Neodiprion lecontei: one gene and its partners. The protein of the gene in region 1 purifies or fractionates together with the protein of each later gene. This does not show direct contact. Links are inferred from orthologs where the notes say so. Each region holds a gene or a part of one and is shown in the gene's direction. Other genes may lie near its edges.

Evidence for each region.
Region 2: the proteins of ATP-dependent RNA helicase DHX8 (region 1) and peptidyl-prolyl cis-trans isomerase E purify together in Homo sapiens (affinity purification with mass spectrometry; 3 studies listed by BioGRID and IntAct, counting the BioPlex papers as one, with this or other methods). This does not show direct contact. The link is inferred for Neodiprion lecontei from reciprocal best matches to the Homo sapiens genes DHX8 and PPIE.
Region 3: the proteins of ATP-dependent RNA helicase DHX8 (region 1) and nudC domain-containing protein 1 purify together in Homo sapiens (affinity purification with mass spectrometry; 3 studies listed by BioGRID and IntAct, counting the BioPlex papers as one, with this or other methods). This does not show direct contact. The link is inferred for Neodiprion lecontei from reciprocal best matches to the Homo sapiens genes DHX8 and NUDCD1.

What each region holds. Positions count from the first base shown.
Region 1 is NC_060261.1:38,195,182-38,202,968, forward strand, and holds ATP-dependent RNA helicase DHX8, read left to right. Parts: upstream 1-1,664; 5' UTR 1,665-1,771; coding exon 1,772-1,871; intron 1,872-1,959; coding exon 1,960-2,045; intron 2,046-2,152; coding exon 2,153-2,959; intron 2,960-3,150; coding exon 3,151-3,392; intron 3,393-3,481; coding exon 3,482-3,786; intron 3,787-3,921; coding exon 3,922-4,351; intron 4,352-4,434; coding exon 4,435-4,693; intron 4,694-4,848; coding exon 4,849-5,339; intron 5,340-5,503; coding exon 5,504-5,836; intron 5,837-5,949; coding exon 5,950-6,153; intron 6,154-6,261; coding exon 6,262-6,442; intron 6,443-6,527; coding exon 6,528-6,749; 3' UTR 6,750-7,220; downstream 7,221-7,787. Other genes in the region: carboxy-terminal kinesin 2, read right to left, coding at 1-432.
Region 2 is NC_060262.1:20,670,073-20,674,171, reverse strand, and holds peptidyl-prolyl cis-trans isomerase E, read left to right. Parts: upstream 1-1,884; coding exon 1,885-2,110; intron 2,111-2,383; coding exon 2,384-2,553; intron 2,554-2,639; coding exon 2,640-3,002; intron 3,003-3,115; coding exon 3,116-3,433; 3' UTR 3,434-3,498; downstream 3,499-4,099. Other genes in the region: 3-sulfolactaldehyde dehydrogenase, read right to left, coding at 134-1,654; dehydrogenase/reductase SDR family member 4, read right to left, coding at 3,783-3,953, 4,094-4,099. UniProt on the Homo sapiens protein: Involved in pre-mRNA splicing as component of the spliceosome. Combines RNA-binding and PPIase activities.
Region 3 is NC_060260.1:33,101,048-33,106,129, reverse strand, and holds nudC domain-containing protein 1, read left to right. Parts: upstream 1-1,784; 5' UTR 1,785-1,814; coding exon 1,815-1,926; intron 1,927-2,031; exon of another isoform or gene 2,032-2,068; coding exon 2,069-3,062; exon of another isoform or gene 3,063-3,144; coding exon 3,145-3,506; intron 3,507-3,682; coding exon 3,683-3,888; 3' UTR 3,889-4,449; downstream 4,450-5,082. Other genes in the region: glutamate-rich WD repeat-containing protein 1, read right to left, coding at 1-72, 155-562, 686-1,188; cap-specific mRNA (nucleoside-2'-O-)-methyltransferase 1, read right to left, coding at 4,730-5,082.

The sequences.
Region 1 (7,787 bases):
GACTTCTGAGTTATTAGTTTTATTTGTAGTCGTAACAGTAGTATTTCTCATTACTTTTGACGTCGTGATTGGTTTTGGCGCAGGTTTGATGTTTGGTCTTTTATTTTCACTTGGTTCATTTGTAGTTCCAGGTCTCTTGATGGCAACTTTTGTGGTACCTGTACTTCTTGTGATTACTCCATGTGTTTTTGCTCTGACTAAGACAGGTTTTTGGGGCACTATTATTTCTGCTTTTATTTGCCCTGGAATATTATGCGTGCTTTTGTACTTTTTCGAATTCTGTGTGTCATTCTTAAGATTTTCATCTGATAGTGCTTTTACTAAATTCTTGTTTCTTTGAGAATGACCATTTACACTCTCTTCAGTATTTACATTCACAGTGTTAAGCCCCTTTCTTAACACTACCTTTGGCTTAGGTAATCGTGATTCCATCTACAAACATTCGGATAGGGATATCATTATTTTAAATAAACTTTGCAAATAACTAGTAAAGATGTGTTGATTTGGAAGGAATAGGAAAACTAGCTCAGCATAAAATTACGAATTGAACGATGTGTAACTGTGACTTGAAGCAAATCTCACCAATAATTTTGCTTTAGGTTAAATTTTATTTTTATCAGTAACAAATCAGATTGTCTAATTGAAAACGTGATTTTATAGGCGTCTTCTCTGTCGCATCAAAGCGTTGACTCGTGCTAGAGTTGTTTTTACTGAACGAGTAACGTTTGATTAATTATCGCCGAATCCTTTCTGCTTATTGCGTTATAATTTAAACTAAAATTACACCGACAACTCGCAAGGTATCGATAACATATCCATAACGAACATATCCAAAGTTCACTGCCTCAAATTTATTCAAATACATGACACGAAGTTAACAAACCTTTCTGCATGCGATCCACTAAAAATATTAGGCACCAAATTCACAAGACGCTGCCAATTATTCAGAGTATTATTCTATTCGTGCGAATATCATTCGAAAAGTGCGTGCCAGCAAGAAAGGATGATCACAGTACCTTTGTATGCATACGAAGCTAATATTATCAATTAAAAATTGCAAGAAAACTTAGCGTCGTAGACAGCCTATGATCAAAGATGTCTAACGTGAGTACGGAACGCGAGTACCGGACTTCAAATATCGGTTACGAGATTCAAACTTGTTTTTATATATATACTTATCCTAAATCCCTTTATTGAACCAATGAAAAACGGGCAAGTCTCACCCAGCCTATCAGAAAATTTTCGAATTTTCGATTCGATGCATTTTAAAAATCCAATAAAGAAGCGTATAAAACTACTAAAACTCTGTTATTGAACAATTTTATGACAATTTTCGGAATGCAGTTAGTCAAACATGAATCAGTATTTTTTTCCGCGAAAGTTTCATTCAGATTGATTGAAATAACTGAAAGACTTAAAAATCTCTGGTCATATGTAGCCACAATAAAGAATGTCGCGTCAGTATATCGTATGTAATAAATTTCTGATCGAAGTTATTCAACGAATAAAATAATAAGTTTGAAATCTCACTGATGCATTTTTCATTATTTATTTGATACCGTTGCCGATTAGCGCGATTAGTTAAATCAAGACTTCAGCAGTCACGGATGTTGAATTTCTATTATGGCATACGTCAGGCTCGTATAGCTTTTCATCTAGTCCCCACACTTACCGTTGGAGCCACGTAAAAATTCATCAATTCTAACCTCGAAGTGATGGGAGATTGGAATTGTGAATATTTTCCGATTTAATATTAATAACAGACGTAATAATGGACATGGATGAAGTTGCGAAACTGGAGCATTTGTCTCTTGTTTCAAAAATATGCACAGAATTAGAGAACCATTTAGGCTTAAATGATAAGGATTTGGGTAATACAACGACGCTTAACCTAACCTAATGTCAGAAACAAGCGTTCAGTGCAATGATTAATTCCAGTTTATTTATTTAACGTTTCAGCTGAATTTATTGTTGACCTGGCAGAAAAGAATAACAGTTTGGAGTCGTTCAAAAAAGTTCTCATCGAAAATGGGGCAGAATTCTCGGTAAGTTGGAAAATTGTATTCAAGATACCAGCATTTGATGTTATTTGTTTCATAATTTATTTCTCTTTTATGTACACGTGCTGTTGACCGTTATTTGCCAAATTCAGGACTCCTTCATGGCAAATCTTCTCAGGATTATACAACACATGAAACCGTCGAAACAGTTGAATGAAAAATCTCACGGTTCAAACCACAGACAGGATGACTTGTCGCTAAAGTTCCCCGGCCTGGCTATACCAAACGAGCATAAGAAACTCCAGCCTATCAAAGAGGAGAAGGATGAAGATGTGGTTAATGACACCATGGCTGCGCTAGAAGCCCTCGCTCCTTCAGGTTCAAAAACTCAACCCAATTCAAAAAAAGACCAAGAAGGACCTGTAGTTGAACCCCCTAATGACAAAAAAGACAAAGATAGAGATAGGAGAAAAAACAGATCGATAGATCGCAAGCGGGACAGATCAACATCACGTAATCATAGAGATAGAAAACACAGATCACGATCACGTGATCGGTCTAGATCTAGAGACAGAAATCGGAATCGAAGACGTCATGGATCAAGAGATCGAAAGAGGTCTAGATCAAGAGACGCACGTTCAAGATCCAGAAACAGACGTTCCAGATCACGTGATCGCAAGAACTATAAACGCAACAAACGGCATGAAACTGACCGCTCAAGATCACGTTCTGTAGAAGAACTTGCAGTTGATCCCGAAGTCGGAAAAATTTATACTGGAAAAGTTGCAAATATTGTTCAGTTTGGGTGTTTTGTGCAACTAGAAGGTTTAAAGCGCAGATGGGAGGGTTTGGTTCATATTTCACAACTTCGGCGTGAAGGTCGTGTTGCCAGTGCCAGTGACATTGTTTCAAGAGGCCAAAAAGTTTTGGTCAAAGTACTGAGTGTAGCTGCTCAAAAGGTGAGGAACATTTCTCACTATGCAAATCTAGAATGCATGTTCCAAGGGGAACAGTAAAGTTTAATGGCATGATATAAAAACCATATTCAAAGTGCTGTTACCATACATTGATGAATCCTGCAGCAGTCTGTTTGCACTAGGATGTACAAATTTTAGGAATGAAAAAACGGTTTAATCAATTCGTTTATCAGGTTTCTCTAAGCATGAAAGATGTTGACCAAGAGACTGGACGGGACTTGAATCCAGTTGTGAGCATTTCCAAGGCAGACGAGGATGAAAAACATTTACGAAATCCTGACAGACCAACATCTTTGCTAGAACTGCAAGGACATTTAGATGAGGACGAAACATATTCCAGGAAACGTGTGCAAAGATTATCCTCCCCTGAAAAATGGGAAATAAAACAAATGATGTCAGCAGCTTGTATCGAGAGGTATGCTTCAAATAAATACAACATCATGTTCTAACACTTGATTTATGCAATTATATATTCATTGTTTCATTTTTACTTTTATATGGTAGGAGTGAACTTCCAGAATTCGATATTGAAACTGGAATCTTGCCTCGTGAAGATGATGAAGAAGAAGATGTTGAAATTGAATTGGTAGAAGAGGAACCACCATTTTTACATGGGCATGGTAGAGCTCTTGGTGATTTGAGTCCTGTTCGGATTGTAAAGAATCCTGATGGATCGTTGGCACAGGCTGCTATGATGCAAAGCGCTCTGGCAAAAGAGAGACGAGAACAGAAAATGCTGCAAAGAGAGCAAGAAATGGATTCAATACCTGCAGGACTGAACAAAAATTGGATTGATCCTTTACCTGATGGTAAAACTATAACTTTCAGTGAATTTTAGTTTAAATATTTGCTTTTAGTTCAAAATTACTTACACTAGGCACAAATTATATTTTTTAAACGAAATGGTATTATGACTCGAAAACATATTAATTTGTTTATTTCAGCGGAAAGTCGGACTTTAGCTGCAAACATGCGTGGCATAGGATTACAGACACAAGACCTCCCCGAATGGAAAAAACACGTCATTGGTGGTAAAAAATCGTCATTTGGTAAGAAAACCAACTTAACACTGTTGGAACAGAGACAGAGCTTACCAATTTACAAGCTCAGAGACGAACTGGTGAAAGCAGTAACAGATAATCAAATTCTTATCGTCATTGGCGAAACCGGATCTGGTAAAACAACACAAATTACTCAATATCTTGCGGAAGCTGGTTTCACATCACGAGGTAAAATAGGATGCACGCAGCCGAGAAGAGTAGCGGCAATGTCTGTTGCTAAAAGAGTTGCCGAGGAATTTGGTTGTAGATTAGGACAGGAAGTCGGATATACAATACGTTTTGAAGACTGCACTAGCCCTGAAACCAGCATAAAGTATGTTTGAAGATTTTGTATTTTTCTTACATTTGAAAACTTATTTAAAATGCGAAATTTCACCTCATTTTATTGTAATATAGGTACATGACAGATGGTATGTTACTCCGAGAGTGCCTCATGGACCTTGATTTGAAAATGTATTCTGTTATAATGTTGGACGAGGCACATGAGCGTACTATCCACACAGACGTACTCTTTGGTTTATTGAAACAAGCTGTAGGTCGACGGCCAGATTTGAAGCTCATCGTCACTAGTGCTACTCTCGATGCTGTTAAGTTTTCACAATACTTCTTTGAAGCACCGATATTTACAATTCCTGGGCGGACATTTCCTGTTGAAGTAAGATTAAATCGTCAATAATTTTGAAATAAAAATTACAGTAGCATTGACCAATGTAGTTTTCGATAGATTGAATTAAATTTTTCATTGAGTACTCCAAACTCATCACAAACCTTAAAATGTAATTTGACCATATCTTTATTATCGATTTTTAGGTGATGTACACAAAAGAACCAGAGACAGATTATTTAGATGCTGCTTTAATAACTGTGATGCAGATTCACTTACGCGAACCGCCTGGAGATGTTTTGTTATTTTTAACTGGGCAGGAAGAAATTGATACTGCTTGTGAAATTTTATATGAAAGAATGAAATCTCTCGGCCCAGATGTGCCAGAGTTGATCATTTTACCAGTTTACTCTGCACTACCCTCCGAAATGCAAACAAGAATATTTGAACCTGCCCCACCTGGATCCAGAAAAGTTGTTATAGCGACAAATATTGCGGAAACGAGCCTCACGATCGATGGTATATACTACGTCGTTGATCCGGGTTTTGTTAAGCAAAAAGTGTATAATTCTAAGACTGGAATGGACAGTCTTATTGTCACGCCCATTAGTCAAGCAGCTGCTAAACAGAGAGCTGGCAGAGCTGGGAGGACCGGTCCTGGAAAATGTTATAGATTATACACAGAAAGAGCTTACAGGTAACGAACATCATTTTATTGTAGTTTTAGTGAGTTTTCAATTAAAAATATGGTTTTTCCTTGTAACTGAGAATTGTCTTTCCAACTTTTTTACGTTTTCCTTAGCAAAATATTGAATGTTGACAAAGTTTTGGCAATAGATTGTAACTATCTATTCTGTGTAGGGATGAAATGTTGCCAACACCAGTGCCCGAAATTCAGCGAACGAATTTAGCAACGACAGTTTTACAGTTAAAAACCATGGGAATTAATGATCTCTTACACTTTGACTTCATGGATGCCCCACCTGTTGAATCTTTGATTATGGCATTAGAATCCTTGCACAGCTTGAGTGCTCTTGACAATGAAGGGTTATTGACAAGACTGGGAAGGCGGATGGCTGAATTTCCACTAGAACCGAATTTATCCAAAATGCTAATTATGAGCGTCCACTTGCAATGCTCAGACGAAATTCTTACCATTGTCAGCATGCTTTCAGTACAGAACGTTTTCTACAGGTAAAATCAGTTATTCGGAATATATGTCTATTTTCCGATTCTTCTGATATTATAACTTACGAGTTTGTATAGTCATACGTTCGGAAATTAAATACTTTTTTTCTGATTTCTAGACCAAAAGATAAACAAGCACTTGCAGACCAAAAGAAGGCAAAGTTCAACCAGGCAGAAGGCGATCATTTGACATTATTAGCAGTGTACAATTCCTGGCGAAATAATAAATTCAGTAATGCTTGGTGCTACGAAAATTTCGTACAAATAAGGACTCTGAAAAGAGCTCAAGATGTTCGCAAACAGCTGCTAGGTATAATGGACAGGTAAGTAATAAATATTTTACTTATATTTACAAGCAACTGTTAAAATGTCTGAAAAATTGAGCAAAAAATATTTGCAGTACAATTGCATTGTTTATTACCATTTTCTAGGCACAAATTGGATGTGGTGTCTGCTGCAAAAAATACAGTGAGAGTACAAAAAACTGTATGTTCTGGATTCTTCAGAAACGCGGCGAAAAAAGATCCTCAAGAAGGATACAGAACACTAGTTGATAGCCAAGTTGTTTACATTCATCCAAGTAGCGCGTTATTCAATCGGCAACCTGAATGGGTACATAGTATTGATATTAAATGCTCTTGAACTCATCATTATTGTAAGAAATAGATAGCCAAAAATTGATTTACTGATATTCCAGGTGATTTACCACGAACTTGTCCAAACGACAAAAGAATATATGCGAGAGGTTACGACGATTGATCCGAAGTGGCTGGTCGAATTTGCACCGGCATTTTTCAAATTCAGTGATCCTACGAAATTGAGTAAATTCAAGAAGAATCAACGATTAGAACCATTATACAACAAATACGAAGAACCTAATGCATGGCGTATATCCAGAGTTCGACGGCGTAGAAATTAGACTGAATATTCATATCTTGAAGCTATCAATCATACATATTATGTTCTCATCTTGAAATGTTACCATTGCTGCAATAAACCACAAACGGTTTGTCTCCATTGCTTGGTTAGTATTATATAAAAATTTCTTGGTTGCTATTAACACCATTTGACGAAGCGAAAAACTGCTTCCAACATTATGTCACTGTAATGTAGAACAATTATTTAATTTTTAATGTAAATTTACGACCACGTATTGCAGATGAAGTTAACTTTGTGAGAAACACAACGGATTGGGACATGTTGATTCAAATAATGGGAAGAGTATAAAACTTTCAAGTCATTCTCAATTTTTGTGATAAATTGATGGTATCCAATCAGCCCTGGATAATTTTATGTACAGGACACATAAGAAAATATGTGTCATTAACAGGATAAGATTATACATGGACAAATCAAAATAAATTTACCTATTGTGTATGTGTTGTATAAATATTATACTGTTCAATATTTTTACTTATGATTTAATTGTACATTCTTGCACAAATCAACAATAATCTTGGCCACATAATGGTGTGCCCTGTGAGAGGGATGTCAAATGGTGCGGAAGAAAGTCATCAGAAATACATTAGAAGCACACGAAATAAGCCAAGTACGTAACATTTGAGTCCGTCTTTGCACGCTTTGAAATTAACAATTTACTGCTAGCTATTAGTACTTGCCTAAAATGTGATTGTGACAGACGATGTTACTGACAAAAAAATTGCAACATTAAAAAGTCTCGAATATGAAAGTGAAAAACGTAAACGTTTCTCAGTAACAGAACATCTTATTAAAAACAACTGCACACCAAAGGTAAGAATGAATCAAGTAAGTAACTTTCATTGTAGCATCTGATTGAAGAAACAAAGAATGTATTGAAATCAGTACATTTTTCAAGTTGTCGGACTTCGCCAGACGGATAACAATTTTGATGAGTCGTTGCACTTTAATATACAGCAATTTATAAAGGTGCTGTCTAATGATTTGAACTGTTATTGTAATTTTTAAATTCAGAGAC
Region 2 (4,099 bases), on another chromosome or scaffold:
GAAAGCTCTAGCCCTGAGATCGATCTTTTTTGTAGATATTGCAAATTGACATCGAATTAAGTATGTGAATGTGTCGCGTTCTCATAGTGTCTGGACTCATTGAGGAATGCTCACAAGGTGCTTAAGATAACTTTCATGACTGATAGGCAACGTTTCCTATGCAGACGTACTTTACATCTACAAAGTCGTCGATCCCATGGTGAGAACCCTCTCTTCCCAGTCCAGATTCCTTGATGCCACCAAATGCAGCTTCTGTACACGAAATAAGCCCTTCGTTTACCCCAACCATGCCTACTTCCAGTTTCCTTGCGACTCTGAAAACCTGTGATATATCCTTGGAGTAAAAATACCCTGCAAGACCGACAGGTGTATTATTTGCCTCCCTAAGAACTTCTTCCTCGCTTGAAAATTTGTTTATAACAGCGACAGGGCCAAAAATTTCTTTGTTGTAAATTTGCATTCCTTTGGTGACACGCGTAAGGACAGTTGGGCCATAGAAAAGAGGGCCTAATTCAGGTAAAGGCTTGCCTCCACAGTGGAGCTTCGCTCCTTTTGTAAGGGCATCATTGACCAGGTCAGAGACCATCTTGAGTTGTGACTCTTTGATCAGTGGGCCATTGGTAATCCCTTCTCGACTTCCATCGCCCATCTTGATATCAGAGTTAATTTTAGAAACAAATTTATCGACAAATTCAGTATGCACATTCTCATGAACAAAGAACCTGTTAGCAGAAACGCAAGTCTGTCCTGTGTTGCGAAATTTGCTGGCCATTGCACCAGCAACAGCGAGGTCAATGTCAGCTGATTCAAAGACAACGAATGGAGCGTTTCCCCCGAGCTCAAGACTTAGCCGTTTAATTGTCGATGCGCACTGTCTGTAGAGGATCTTCCCGACAGCTGTTGAGCCTGTGAAAGACATCACCCTGACCCTCGCATCCTCGCACAAGAGCTTCCCAACAGCCGCAGAGTTCTTGGGACTGGTTGTGACAACGTTGAAGACGCCAGCTGGAAACCCAGCCTGTTCTGCCAGATTAGCGAGCGCCAGAGCGGTCAGCGGAGTCTCTTCAGAAGGCTTAACGACACAAGTACAACCAACAGCCAATGCTGCTCCAGCCTTTCGGGTGATCATAGCATGCGGAAAGTTCCACGGAGTGATGAGAGCCGCAACACCAACAGGCTGCTTGAGCAATAGGACCTCTCTACCGCGCACTGGCGATTGGATCACCTCACCATTGACGCGACGTGCTTCCTCAGCAAACCACTCTACGAACGAATTACCGTACTTTACCTCGCCCCGCGACTCCGCGAGGGACTTGCCGCTCTCCATGGTCATTATCTGCGCCAGGTCCTCCGCATGCTTCACCATCAGGTTATACCACCCGCGCAGCAAGTCGCTCCGTTCCTTCGCCGTCGTGTTGCTGAACTCCCCCACGGTGAAGGCTCGCTGCGCTGTATCCACAGCAAGCTTCACGTCCGACTCGCTCATGTCCGGGACTCTGCCGACTACCGAACCGTCGAAGGGATTCAGCACCTCAAATGTCTCGCCGCTACCGGCATTTCGCCATTCGCCGCCAACGTAGGCTTGGTTTCGCAGCATGCTCAGTGCACGCCTGCAACAATGTTGCCACTGACTGTATCGCATTAGGGAAAACATGTTTAACTGTTACCCGGTTATCGGATTATTATGATGAGACAGATTCGTCGGGTTACGTAATCCCTCTAAAAACGCTATGAACCCCAAACGATCGACCGGGTTCGAATCTCGAATTTCGAAGCACTGACGCTTATAACTGCATAAAAGAGGACAGCCTTGCTCGTACTAATAAGCCGCCAGCATGATTCTACCGAGTCTACTCTCGGAACTCGACACCAGTTCGGATTGATATGGTCTTACTGGAATCGAATTTTAATGATCGCTTTGCATGGCGACGGCTTGTAATTGCGCGACAAGCAGTGCGACTTGTTGACAACACTCAGTGCGTCTTACCGGCGTCAGACAATGTTTACGAACGAATTTTATTAACACGTTGTTGTTTGACTTTTATCTGCAGACGACAGATTGATCTCGATTGTAAAATGAGTAACAACGCGAAGAGGACTATATATGTCGGTATGATTCGCCTTGTATTTTTATAATCACTGGATTGAATGAAACTAACCTCAATTATTCTCGCTCGATTTCTGTATTTTCTCGAAGGTACTAATTATCTTGTCTGTTTCTATTTTTCCACTACCCGAGTTATTTTTTTCTTCGGTTAATCATTCACTTGATGTTCAAATATCATATAATTGAGGAAATAAAGATATGAATTTATAATAGGTTAGGTTAATAGTGTAAGTTGTTTTTCCTCAATGTTCCTGCGACCAATGTAATTGTACGTAGGTGGGTTGGCTGAGGAAGTAGACGAAAAGGTGCTTCACGCCGCGTTTATACCATTCGGAGAAATCGTCGATGTTCAAATACCACTAGATTACGAATCTGAGAAGCACCGAGGATTTGCATTCATAGAGTTTGAAATTGCTGAGGATGCTGCCTCAGCAATTGACAATATGGTACAAAAAGACTAATAAACGATATAATCAGAGGCAGTGAGAGACAAATTAATAAATTTATTATTCTTGTGTTTTTCATTCACTAGAATGACTCTGAGCTTTTTGGCAGAACCATAAGAGTAAACATAGCCAAACCGCAAAAGATAAAGGAGGGTTCATCTAAGCCAGTTTGGGCAGATGATACTTGGCTCCAGGAACATGCTGGAGAGACACTAGAAACTGATGACTCTACGGCAAAAGTTGATAGCGGACCTCCAGCAAAAAAAGGAAAGCAAAATCCTCAGGTCTACTTTGATGTCAGTATAGGAAAACAGGAGCTGGGCAGAATCATCATGATGCTTAGAGCTGATATTGTTCCCAAAACTGCAGAAAATTTTCGTTGCCTCTGCACACATGAAAAAGGATATGGATATCAGGGCAGCACTTTCCACAGAATCATTCCAGATTTCGTATCCTTGACTTTGAGTGTCGGTTGAAACACCCCATATTTTTTTTCAAGCCAGACACCAATCAAAAGAAAAAACAAAAGGTTTTTTCCTAAACTAATATTTTTATAAAACAGATGTGCCAAGGTGGAGATTTCACAAACCATAATGGAACTGGAGGGAAGTCTATATATGGAAATAAATTTGACGACGAGAACTTTGAGCTCAAACATACGGGTCCTGGGACCTTGTCAATGGCAAATTCAGGCCCTAATACAAACGGTTCTCAATTTTTTATGTGCACGGCACGTACGGACTGGCTTGATGGAAAGCATGTCGTATTTGGTCACGTTCTTAGTGGATTAGATGTATTAAAAAAAATGGAAAAATGTGGAACCAAAGGAGGTACCCCTACTCAAAAAGTGGTCATCACAGCTTGTGGCGAGCTGACATAATTAACTGATAAAAAAATGTTATTTTATTATAGCTTTCTAATAAACTCTATAATACATTGTATAAATTCAAAGAGTATCCCAATTTTTTAGCCGATAAAATAGCGATGATAATGAGCACTCTCATCAATACATAATATATAATGCATAATATGAAGCCAAGCATACAAAGAAAGAATCCTTGTTAACTTTGATAATTCGGGGAAAAGCATGTAACAAATGTATTTTTGTAAATGTTATCATTATTTTTTTCTAAAATTGTTTCTGAAAAATTACCTGTGAATAATATGGACTCTGGGGTGTTGAGTCAGACAATGCAAAATTTATATTGTTGATATTTGATGTAGACTTCTCAGAGTCTTGATAACATGCCACCAGCTCCGACGATAGTTTCACCAGTAATGTAAGATGCGTCCTCACTCGCTAAGAAAGCTGCGATTCCTGCTATTTCGTCTGTAGTTCCTAATCTTTGCAGAGGGATTTTTGACATGGCCAAGTCATGTGCTGCCTCGGATTCATAGAGCTATAAATTTTGACCATAAATTTATACATTGTTCACGAGATGTACAAATTTTCACCGGATAACTAATTCACCTTTAGACAATATTTAATCAACAATTGAATTGGTTTCACTGATTGCATATTTATATTGTTGATACATACCGGTGT
Region 3 (5,082 bases), on another chromosome or scaffold:
GCTGTGTGTGCCTCACCTGCTGTCAGCATGCACGCTGCCTGAGGACTTGCTCTTGTGTCCCAAATTTTTATACTGAAGACAATAATTCGGTCAAAAATTTTGTCAAAATTAACTAAGAATAAGGTCACGGAATATACTTGAGCATATATCAAACCTTTTATCGACGGAACATGAGGCAAGCACATGCCTTTCGTTTGGGGACCATTGGAGATCCTCAACACTATGTGGAGCATGGGAATTATAAGGCCTTTGATCTACAAGCCAGTCTTCACCACTGCTGCTATTATTGTGATGCCAGATGTGAATGTTGCCTTTACAATCACCCGATGCCAGAGTTCCTTCTTCGGTAGGACACCAGTCCAAGCCATATCCTTCCTGCAGGTGTCCTTTGAATGTAAATATTGGTTTGGCTCCATCATTGCCTTGGTCATTTCGCTTACGGTAATTACTCAGCAACAAGGGATCGTCTACTGCTCTCAGCTGCTCGTTCAAATCCCAAAGAGATACACGACCCAGTTCACTCCAACTTGCAGCAAAGACTTTGTTCCGCACTTGCGTACATCTGTGACAAACAGTGTTAAACTCTGTGGATAGGAAACTCAACTCAATGCTCCTAATTATTGTGTCAGAATTTTTCTACGGAAAACTAGTTCAACCATATCATTAGACAGAGCACAATGCTTACCTCACTCTATTCACACAGCCCTGATGTTTTATAGAAGCAACTGTCATAACAGGAGCTCGAGCTTCGTCTTCATCGTCATCGTCATCTGAATCAGACTCGTCAGATTCCTCATTGTTACGAGCAGTGCCATGCAGGTTAGACATTTTCATGACAAGTAGGTTATTGACATGTGTTCTTGCAGCTTGCGTACCAGCTAGCATGTACATTGACATGGGATATGTCTCCCGTGAGATACCGAGGTCATCCCTGATAATGTCAAAGCTTAGACACGGAGCCCCTGTTTGAGCTTGATGTAACATTCTATATGCTGAATGATCTACTACCAATTCTTCTCCTTTTTCTAGTGGCTGTCCTGGCAAGTAAATTTTACTTTTTTTCTCTGTATCATTATCGTCTTCTGCTTCCATATCTTCATCTTCCGCTTCGTCATCGTCATCATCATCTCCATCATCTTCTGCTTCTCTATCGTCAACTTCTATCATCGCTTCTTCTGCAGGATCCATTACTTTTTTTTTTTGTAGAAAAAAAAAATTCACATAGATATAAAGGTGCACGAATTATTACTGATAGACGAACATACAGTAAAGAAAAATCAAAGATGTATAACGATATCTATTTGTCGTCAGGACACATGTGTTACTCCAAAGTATCTTTCAAGGAAAATTTTGGAATACAGCCTGTCACTTAATATTCCATGCGTAATGAAATAGAACAACTATCGAGTATAACGTATTTCCAGTCTAAATACGATTACGAATCTCTCTCTTGAAAATCCATCGCACGCTAACTGGGACTTACCTAACCTCGAATAAAGTGGCTCTGTATAAATTTATCGAGGAATGATATCTCTCTGAATGATATGAACCTGTCCAAGCAATCATCTGAATGAGCGCTTTCCCGAAAATTTTACATTATATCTCTGCTTTTCATTTATATACTTACTAATGTTTCAACCTTAAGGAAAGTCCGGTACGCCGTACACACTGATGAAAGAAATTAGGTTAGGGTATGTATCACGCCTGAAGACGCGCGACGACGCAACGTCAGTGTAGATGCGAATTACCAAGTCGTAGATTCAAGTGATATTAATGAATAAACAGTTTTGAGACGCAAATAAGCACTTGCTCCGATGCCTGATATCATAGAACTACGACCAGACAAGGGTCTTTTGTACCCCAACTTTGAAAAATATCAATTTCTCGACGAGCCAATACTTATTCTAGAAAAAGATCTGGAGACAGGTAAACAATCAACACTACGGAAGATTGGCTGTCAGATTTTCAACATGTATCGACTAAAAGTTTTGGATTTATTATTAATTGTTTAATTAACGATGTAAAAGAAACCTTGGCCTTCATATGACTGTGCTGCCTGTTATTTCAGAGGTGCTGCGAGTCGAACCCAGTAGTTCTCAAGATTCCTGGCTTGAAGCAAGGTCTTTCGCTTACCATAATCATTTGTACAAAAATCCGTTTAATGGCAAGTGTTATTTCGTCAACAAAGATAATGAATTATGGAAAATGGATACAAATGGTTTTTTAGAGTTGGTACATACCCTGACCAAATTCTCAATTGAATCTGGTGCCCCGGTGTATAATCCATCACTGAGTTTTGCTTCAGAAGACATCATAGTTGGCTGCAATGGGTGTAAAAATTTGGAAATAATTATTAAAAATGACTCACAACCCTTGTTAACATTCGTGTTTGAGGATATAGATGCTGGTATAATATTAGATTCAGTCTACGTTGAAGATAAATCAATAATCAACGTTGTAATGTGCTTTATAACTGAAATTGACAGCAAAAAACATTCTGAAGTTGTTTTGTATACATATTCTTCACCAGCTATTGATACAGTGGGTTCAGAACCTTCATCGCTGGATGTTAAATTTATTGGAAAGAGGATCTTGAGGGTGAAGGGAGCTGTTGAGTATGCTAATTTAGAATCAAACGGAAATTATTTACACTTAATGAGTCAAGACTCTGCTACCTTTGTTTACGATTCTTTAAGACCAGTGAATAAGGAAATTCCAACTGAAGGCAATCAAGAGATTAATATCCCAAAATACTGCTGGTCTCAGGATGAAGATTCACTTACTATTTGGTTGAAAGTTTTCGATGGCATTGATAAGAGTCAAATTAAAGTTGAGGTCAAGCCTAATAATATTGTCATAAAATATGAAGATCAGATATTGATGGCTGGGGAAAGTGGGCATAGATTGGATCCAGATTTAACAACTTGGTCACATGAGAAAGATTCGCTAAAAATAGATTTATTCAAAAATGAGACAGGGTTAATGTGGAATGAGCTGATTAAAGGGGACACTGGCGGTGAATGCTTACCAAATGAGGCTCTAGCAGCCGAAGTTCACAGCAGGTAGGTCTCCAGGGATATCGTTTATCATTTGTAAATATTCCTGAACATTAATTTTTTTGTTTTTAATATGAATCCATCCCAGATTAGCCTATTTATGCACTGAAGAGCCAGGAACCGGAGTTGGGCATCCAATGTTGGGATTCAACTCAGAGCAGCTAGAAGAATGTGATATTCAAGAGAGAGAAAATCAATTCCAAAGAATTAATATAGACTCTCACAAGACTACTCATTTAGTAATTTTAGGTGCAAATAACCGCGTTTTGTTCACACAAAGAGTCAAACACGGCCAGCTCTTGTGTTTGAGACATGATCATGATGGCTGCGTTTGGGTTGCTGGTGAAAGTAATGACGAACATTGGAGATTGAAGCATATTTCTACATTTCCTGGATTTGGATACGTAGAGGCAAGCAAGACTAACAAAAAGTTTTGCGTCTCTCCCCCTAGTAAGTCTGATTGTGAGCTTAATATCTGTTGTAAATTTATTCCAGTTCTTAGCAGTGTCTCATCTCACCCTAGCCTGTTATTTCATACATTTAATGTCTCAGTCTCACTTTCTTTTTTTGCCAGATTTTTAAGCCATTACTTCATTATTCGTTTGAGAAAAACATCATTTTTGCAGATGGGTCGTACGTAGCTATAGTAGAGCATGCAAGACATGTTTTTCTGTATGAAAAACCAGTTGGAAACTCAAAAATAGGACATCAACGCATTGTAGATTTGGGGTGTGAAGTGCAAGCCAATCCTGTTTTGGGTGCTGCAGCTTCAAATCGTTATCTGTATTTATTGACCAAGAATAAATTGTACCAATTGCAGATGAATCCTTAGATGTATTTAGCTTACATTTTAACTCAATGGCAGTGAAAGCACCAGTTTTTGTAAAAAATATACCAAACGTTGAAATGTGAATAACGTATTCATGTTGTATGTTTTTTTACATTTTATGGCAAAGAAACAGGATATACAAAGAATATTCTTGTTTGACAAGTAATCTCTGGATGATGTTGAATTTGAATGTGTCAAGAACAATGAAAGAAAGTCATGTAATATTAAATAATAATTACAAATTTATTTTGCAATATAATTGATTGAGAAAAATAAATATCTTTTTTACTGTATGTGAAAATAACTGAAAGGTAGAATAACAACAGCAAATCCTTACAATTAAAAGCAGAATAGTTATTTGAATATCTCTACCCTTGAAACCGAGAATGATTTGTAAATAGTTGCTACTATGCACCACATATTAAGGAGTCTCATTCATTTCAAAGTTTTCATCAATTTAAACTAATAAATTTCAACAACATCATCAATTTTGACTGTTTTCAAAATATAGTAGCCAATCTTACTAGATACAAGTTACATTCATTTGATCCTTTTCATCAATCAGTTTACATAAAAAATAAATTCAGCATCATAGTCAGTTTTCGTAAGATGAACAATACGATTGAGTTCAAATGATCAGATTAATAGTAGTCATCTAGCATTACCTATTTTGTCCGATAACATTAAAATAAGAAAATTGGTTTGGGTACAGCGCACAAACTATTTTGCGTTACACCAAGGTTCGAACTGATCAATCACAACACTCAAATATACCATCACAAATATTTCAAATTTATATATTCCAATCATCCAACAGGATTCAATGTATTTCGTAGGTGCAATCTTATGGCGGGCGATGCTTAGCTTTGAGTAAATCTATTAGATTGTTTCTAGTCAAGTCCTGAGAAGGTGGCCAATACCAAACAAGTCGTTCAGAGAAACTTTCGCAGAAGCTAGCAATGGCATCGGCTGGTCTCTCGTAGTCATACTTTGTTTCTTTTGATTTTGGATTGTAATAATACTTGTGTCCGCTCGATCGACTTACATGGCAATGCCAGGGATTTGCAGTACCTTTGAAAAATAGAATGCTATTCATAACAAAGTAATAAGGGTCGTCTCTACTATTTTCGTTCAAATTACTGCCGATCAAGGGTGCATAAGCCATCACTTCATTCCCATTTTTCATTGTGCGAAGTT